2 linked regions of the Kluyveromyces lactis genome follow. The protein of the gene in region 1 interacts with the protein of each later gene in a pairwise test. Links are inferred from orthologs where the notes say so. Each region holds a gene or a part of one and is shown in the gene's direction. Other genes may lie near its edges. The genes, in order: MET4 and MET30.

Region 1 (3,932 bases):
GAAATTCTCAGGTGATAGGAAGGAACGGAGATAGAGCAACAAGGTAATCTATGCAAGGAGCAATAGCTCTTACTTACACAGATGATCAAATTGTGTTTTACTAGCCGCAATATCGTAGCCGTTTTATCCTGCTAATAGAATTGTGTCTCTGCTGCTCTTTTCCCGTACCAACCCGTATTTACCCTCACTATGTTTCTTTTTCATTTTTCCTTTCCAGTTTTTTGTAAAAAAAAGAAAAGCACAGGAAAATGGAAAAGAAACATGGAAAAGGAAACTTTAATCCGTATTTCACGAAACAGTAAGAGCAAACTGGTAGGAGACAAGAAAGTTTTTTTGATATGCATAGGTCAGTCGGGAGATATTTATCGCACCTCCTGTTCTTGTCCTCGATAATTTGCGATGGGGTCTTGTCGATTCCCTAGTTTACGCTATCTATCAGATTTTCATCTCTGAAGATTAGATTACAAGCTCCTTATCTTGAAGGAAGAAAAAGACTTGGCAAACGCAGGTAACGACCTCAAGCAAAACACAATAATCAAACGGCGATCGGCAACCGGCGGTCGGCATTAGTACTGAAAGATCAGGTATAGGGAGAGCATCGGATGAGTGTTTACTTGCTGTGCTGGATTTTCAAACTGTCACTAGTGTGCTGTTTTTTCTCTTTACGATATGTATAATCATTCTTTAGATCAGCGAGCTTTTCTATCTGTGTGAGAGCATCTACGCGGTAACACTCCAGCAATAAAATGCGGGGTTGCTTACTGACTCGAGAAATGAGAATGTAGGCACTAATACTGATGGATAAATAAACATTTTTCCGCGGGTGATCGCAGAAACCGGAGGAAAGCAAGAAAAGAAAAAAGCGAACAACACGAGGGAACACAAATCACGTGCTTCGTATCACGTGCAGTTTGTACTGTGGCTGATGTAATGTCTGTATCCGGGTAATTTTCTTGTCCGGGTAATAGACGTTCCACAGTTTGGTGATTACTTTTTTCTTCTTCTTTTCCCTTTCCTCATTTTTTTCCCGACTTTTGATGAAATTGCACGAGACCTGAGCTGAAGAATAATACAAACTAAAGTATTTTCAATCATCGTCTACTGTTGATATCAACAGCATCGAGTGAAAGGCCACATTCAAATTTGAGCCTTAGTTCCAGGGAATAACGACAGTGAATCTTTATTTATCGAGCCGGCTTCTCTCATTCTTTCCGCTATGAATAGTGGAACTTCCAATAATCTTAAGCGCACTGGTAGCAGCAGTAGCGGTGTTGGTGCAAGGAATATGGATAATCATATTCGAAATCCTAATGATAGTCATCCCAGTCAAGGTATGGACAACATTTGGGGGAACAGTCCGGAATTCTCGACACATTCTCCATCTACCGCATCGAATCACTTACATTCGTTGATTAACCCCCCTGCTGATGTGAATAATGATGTTACCCCTAGCATTCTTTTGGAACAACTAGCGTTTGTTGATAATTTTATTACTGATTTTAACTCTGACTTTGGACCCAATGTGACAAATTCTTTTTACAACAATGAGGGACCTCATGGTGACACTGTAAATTCATTTAGTGGGATGCCCTTGAATCATCAAGTTGGTGGTTTAAGTGCAGATAATCAGCTCGCGATGGATGAACGTTTAGCGGCGGAATTGAGTGTTTTCGCAGATGAGACTTTTATTTTCCCAGATGAAGACAAAGCTGATAGACATGATAGCGATGACAACGGCGACCATTACAACAGCAACCATAACTTCGGATTGAACAACAATGCTAATCCTAGTACTAATGATAATAACATCGACAATAACAATAATAATAACAGTGGTAACAATCATAATAGTAATAATAACAATAATAATAATAATAATAATAATAATAATAATAATAACAGAAACTCTTCGGAAAAGAGAAACTTGTTCGATAGAAAATCAAACCTGCTGGGAAACCAGTATGATCATACGCGGCAACGGTTTTCGAGGAAAAGGTCATCGACACAGAATTCTCCGATCCCCGATCATGGAGGATTTACACACTTTGATGTTCAAGACCAATCCAATAGTCATAATACAGGCAACCTAAATGGCACAAGTGCAAACCGCCAACGAGATATGCCGTTTGCCACTTCCCCACTAACAAATTTATTAGCCGCATATGATTTAACTTCAATGTCATATCCGTCCAATACCACTGTATCGTCTGCCTCTTCAATCGTCAACACAGCTAGTAACCATGGTAATAATCATGTCAATAGCAACGAAAATCCGTATCGTCCAAGTACGGCTGCAACATCAGGATTTGAATCAAATATACAGATGCCAGACTACTCTACAATACAAACTGCGACTTTGGTATCATTGTTGCCTATCATTAATGTTCCCAGAGGTGCTTACCAGTCTTTGCGTAATGTTGGCTTTAAACCAGAACAGATTGACGCCATAGCTGCTATTATGGCTTATTATGAAAGAGAAAGAGAAAAGTTTGATCCTCCTGTGAGGAAGCCAACTAATTTAAATAATCACTCTACAAATAGACCACCATCGTCAGCTTCCCATCTGGGCTCATCGATAGATGTGAATTCGCAAAATCAACTGGTTCCTGAACCTCAAGAACATATTCAAAGCTCCGTTGGCATGCTATTGGATTTTTTGCATGAAAAACCTGAGCCATCTCCTCAATCAAGTGTCCATAAACCTAATCCAAAAAGAGCCAAAAAAACTCCAGTGGAAAAAGAGTCTAGAGTTATTGATACATATATGAAAAACTCACCGAAAGTGCACCACGGCTCAATTTCTAACAACATAAAGAAAGAAAGCGAAGAGAATTCTGCAAAGCAAACACTGGATGATGGTATCAGTAAAACACCAAAATCAGTTGTCAGGAAACTAGAATCAGCTTCCTCTCTTAGGAAGGATGTAACGTCTGCTAAATTGAAGGAAGAGGTGAGACAATCGGAAGAACTTCTCAATGACAAGGAAAATGCTGCTAAGAGTCTCGATGAGAAGATAAACGAAAAAAAGCATAATACTGATTCTGATAAAAACAATTCCTCCAGTGATGGTGTAGAATCGTCGTCCACTTCCTCAACCCTTTCTTCAAGACCCAAACTGCCGAACTTGGATCAAACTAAAAAACTTAAAGAGAAAGAAATGGAAACTTGGGTCCAAGATCTTTCACAGTTAGCTTGTGACTTGAAGCAAAGAATCAATACCCTTGAAATGGAAAACAGACTTCTCAAAAATCTTGTCATTGAACGTGGAGATCTCAAGAATGTTGAGTCTTATGAACTATCCAAAAATAACTCCTCCGAAAGCACTAAAAAGGATACTGACAAGTAAGCTATGATTAATAATTAGTTGTAACCTCTAAGTCGGACATATTTACCTGATGATGCGTGTTCTCTAAAACGTAACGTAACTTTCATCCAAGTATAAGGCCAGAGATAAATTTTGTATTAATATATAGTTACATTCCTCGTAGAATCTAACCCTATGATAGAATCGCGATAAGAGTTATTAGAGTGATAACAACAATAGCTACTAGAAGTATTGTACCACATCTGTTCTTTTTCCTTTGATATTCATTTGCTTTGTGAAGTTCTTTGTTCGCCTTTTGCAAATTATTAGATAATCCTGTCACATTTTCGCCAATTGTGTCAACTTGTTCGCCCTGTTCCTGTACCAGACTTCCTAGTTGTTTGAAGATGGCATTGACCTCTTGCACAGCAGAGTGGATTTTTGATATGTCCTGGGATCTTTCATGTTGAATTATCGTGTGAAAATCTAACTCATCCTGATTCAACAAAGGCTCTTGCTGTTGGGTAGACAAAAGTAACGGAGTATCCTCTGAAGAATGATCCCTCCTCTCGATATCGTCTTGTATTGGCATGCTTTCATATTGCGATACGAGATGTTCCGATTCATT
Region 2 (3,879 bases), on another chromosome or scaffold:
TGCGCGCTGCTGGGTTGACCGCTATTGCAACTGTATTGGATACAAGTGCACATCTAATCGAATCCAAAAATCCAAAGGGAGATGTTGAACTTCTCAGAACTATAAAATCAAGAATAGAAGGTGTCATGACTGCTCAAAAGTACGTCAGTTGTAGTTATAACGCTCCTGAGAACAAATTACCTGAACTTTTAAAAATTACTCCAGGAAGGAGAGCACCAACCATCTCTCAAATCAACGACAGTGGATGGGTAGCGGTTTCATCCATGATCGAAAGGAAAAACAAAGGTGATATTATGGATGACTTGAAAAAAAACGGTGCAGAAGATATCATGGTATTCGAAATTTCTAACTGTCGTGTCTAAAATGATTAGCACTTTTCCTCACCATAATTATATATATAAAATCTTATGCATGGGCACCTTATTGTATCCTTGTGTATAATGTAAGTTAATATAGATAAATTGATACAGCAAAAATTGTGACAATAGCAATATATTGCATGTTGTAGACAATATTTGAAGTCAGCATAGTAGGTATTTGACTCCTGCCTTTCAGCCCTGCATGATCGAACCAGTGTCCGTTCTTACTGATTGTCTTCGATTCTGTCTCTGTCGTTGTGGCAATTTTGATCACGTGAATGAACGAGAAAAATCCAGATAGCTTACCTCACCAGAGACACCGCTGGAAAGAACCAGAGATGAACACAGAAAAGCGCATAATGACCGAATGCACAGTAGCAGGTTACACTATACATATATAATGACTGATTTTCAAGGGAAAATGTGCCATGTTATATTCTTGGCTTTTAGTCAGATCAAAACATGGAATATCCTTGTAATAAGCCAGATAACCTGTAAAGTGTGGCTTACCTACCCTAGCAGTACAAACATATCTTTTTTTCCCATAAAGATAGTAAGAACGGATTTTAGCTAGTACTGAAATTTAGCGCAGAGAAAAAAAGTAAAAATATCGAAACTTAAACAAAACTCTTGACTGACAAAGGACTTCTTCAAAAGGAAAAACACTGCCAAAGTAAGACTTCTTAATCCTTAAAGGGGCGTCTCACTTCCCGATCTACCAATAGTTTGTTTGATTTATATAAAGCATCATATTTGTTGTATTAAGCGGTTTGGAAATTTTCAGAACAAACGAAAGATCAGCAGCGGAGAGAGCTCAGATAGGGAAGAACAACAAGTTTCGGTAAAGAAAGGTACTAGTGCTCATCATTGGTGGTGTTCTTATAGAATTTTCCTGTGAATCAAGGAAAGGAATTATATCCTTGTGGATAAGAGACATAAACGAAGGGTTTTGCAGTACTGCATCACTTTGATCACTGGTTCTGGTATATTTACAAAAGTTTGAGGAACAGAATAAACATTTTGGAAAGAGAACGCTAGGGAAGTTGTTTTGAGTCAATATACCCCATCATTTTATCTCATCAATATATTCAAATATACCATACGAGTTACGATCGTATTTCAAAATGGAGTTTAACCTTCAACAGACATGCAGACCGGATTTAAAGCGTAAGTTCGAAGATGTAGATTCGAATGGAGTGTCAGATCAACGACAGGATACTGATGGGAAGGGGGAAATTCTACGAAACAAAGCTTCCAAGGTCAATCAAAACAATGAGGAAATACAGCTTCCGAGTGAAATGCCTCAGTTCAATTTCTTTAAATTCTGCTACCGTCATAATCCAGATATTCAACACACTTGTAAGGATTCGATGGTTTTCCAAGATCAGGTACGGTCGGAGAAGTGGATGGAGAAAATGAAAGCTTTGGACAAGGAATCAGACCGAGCAATTATCAAACAAACGCTAGACAATTTCCAGCATAGCAATGATAAGATACGAAGATTAATGCTGGAAGGAATATTACAGCTTTGTTGTTTTCCCCAGCTATCTTATATTGCTGATGAGGTAAAACAATTGATTAAGATCGATTTCATTTCAACCTTACCAGAGGAACTTTCTTTGAAAATTTTAGGTTACCTTGACTGTCAGTCTCTTTGCATCGCCTCGCTAACATGTAAGAGGTGGAAAACACTAGCTGATGACGATAGGGTATGGTACCATATGTGCGAACAGCATATTGATAGAAAATGTCCAAACTGTGGATGGGGTCTACCCTTACTCCATATGAAGAGGGCAAGATACTTACCTGTAAATGAAGCACATGTCCATAATCAAAACGGCAATCAATTCCAAAATGTTGCAAACGGCAACGGGAATGAAATTGGAGGCGGAAAGTCACTAATCAATCCTGGCAACTCTCCCAACCAAACTGTTGCCGCTAGGGCTAGGAATAGCAGGTACTATACGAGACCCTGGAAAGTAATATATAGGGAACGGTTCCAAGTGGAATCCAATTGGAGAAATGGAAGATGTAGAATTCAGCTCTTCAAAGGCCATATGGATGGGGTATTGTCATTAAAGTTCAACCACAGACTGCTTTTCACTGGGTCATACGATTCAACGGTGGCTATATGGGACACAAAATCTGGTAATTTGATTAGAAGACTCACCGGGCACACGGATGGTGTGAAGGGTATTTATTTTGATGATCAGAAAATGATCACAGCTTCTTTAGACAAGACAATCAGAGTATGGAACTACATTACAGGGTCCTGTATATCAACTTATAGAGGCCACCAGGATTCTGTGCTATCGGTGGATTCATACAAAAAAATCATTGTGAGTGCTTCTGCTGATAAAACAGTTAAAGTGTGGCATGTTGAATCTAGGACTTGTTATACGTTGCGGGGCCATACGGAATGGGTCAACTGTGTTAAACTACATCCAAAAAGTTTCACTTGTTACAGTTCCAGTGACGACAAAACATTAAGAATGTGGGATATCCGTACTAATTCGTGTATTAAAGTTTTCAGAGGACATGTTGGTCAAGTGCAAAAAGTTATTCCATTAACGATCAAAGACACAGAAAATTTAGTGGTGGATGAAAAAATTGAAAAAGTACCCAACCCAGAGTTAGAAGAAGATTTTGCAGATGACTGTACAGGAATATTCGATCCGAATTTGAAATACCCTACACATTTGCTTTCATGTTCATTGGATAACACCATCAAACTCTGGGAAGTCAGTTCAGGTAGATGCATTAGAACTCAATTTGGACATGTTGAAGGTGTTTGGGATATCGCTGCTGATAACTTCAGAATTGTCAGTGGCTCTCACGATAAGAGCATCAAAGTTTGGGATCTTCAAAATGGTAAATGCATACAAACTTTTACAGGACACAAGGCTCCTATTGTATGTGTAGGAATTGGTGACAGTTCATTTGTTAGCGGAGACGAGCTGGGCGAAGTGAAAATGTGGCATTTTGATGATATTTGAGAGCCCTGTCGTAGAACCATTGGCATTGTTGCACCGATTACACTATAGCTAATGGTACAGAAGTGAAGGAACAATTGTGTTCAACATCTTCAAAACTAGCATAACTAAATACAAAAGTTTATATTGTAACTTATTTCTAGTCTCAACTGCTGCCTAAATACAGAGGCCACATAATGCCATTCTTTTTCGAACGAATACATTACTCAACGATCAGTTTCTGAAAGTTTTATCGTGCTCGGAACAATGTTTAAAATCAATGTACCTACCTGGCTTCATTAACCCCGAAACCATCAACGTTAAAAAGTCAAATGTCGAGCATGCGAAGTTGTGGAATTCGTCATTTAATTCGACCGTCGTATATGCGCGGAATCTAATTATAAGATCGCACCATAATGATTAAGATGATGAGCCTCGTTGAAACGTAACAGCGCACCGTTTTCTTCTTCGAAAGCCAAACTAACACATCTTCCATTTTTCATTGTCAACATGACCGTCTTTTGGTTTCCAGATTCTCACCAAACAGC

What was found.
Region 2: the proteins of MET4 (region 1) and MET30 interact in binary tests that used the Saccharomyces cerevisiae proteins (3 or more experiments, as listed by UniProt). The link is inferred for Kluyveromyces lactis from reciprocal best matches to the Saccharomyces cerevisiae genes MET4 and MET30.

Annotation. Positions count from the first base shown.
Region 1 is NC_006039.1:1,125,523-1,129,454, forward strand, and holds MET4 (Met4p), read left to right. Parts: upstream 1-1,216; coding exon 1,217-3,346; downstream 3,347-3,932. Other genes in the region: SNAP receptor VAM3, read right to left, coding at 3,498-3,932. UniProt on the Saccharomyces cerevisiae protein: Positive trans-acting factor capable of stimulating the transcription of the MET genes from the methionine biosynthetic pathway. MET4, MET28 and CBF1 are required for full induction of MET25 and MET16 gene transcription.
Region 2 is NC_006042.1:2,545,050-2,548,928, forward strand, and holds MET30 (ubiquitin-binding SDF ubiquitin ligase complex subunit MET30), read left to right. Parts: upstream 1-1,483; coding exon 1,484-3,355; downstream 3,356-3,879. Other genes in the region: HIS1 (ATP phosphoribosyltransferase), read left to right, coding at 1-362. UniProt on the Saccharomyces cerevisiae protein: Substrate-recognition component of the SCF(Met30) complex, an E3 ubiquitin ligase complex that mediates the ubiquitination and subsequent proteasomal degradation of target proteins. Negatively regulates sulfur amino acids biosynthesis genes expression.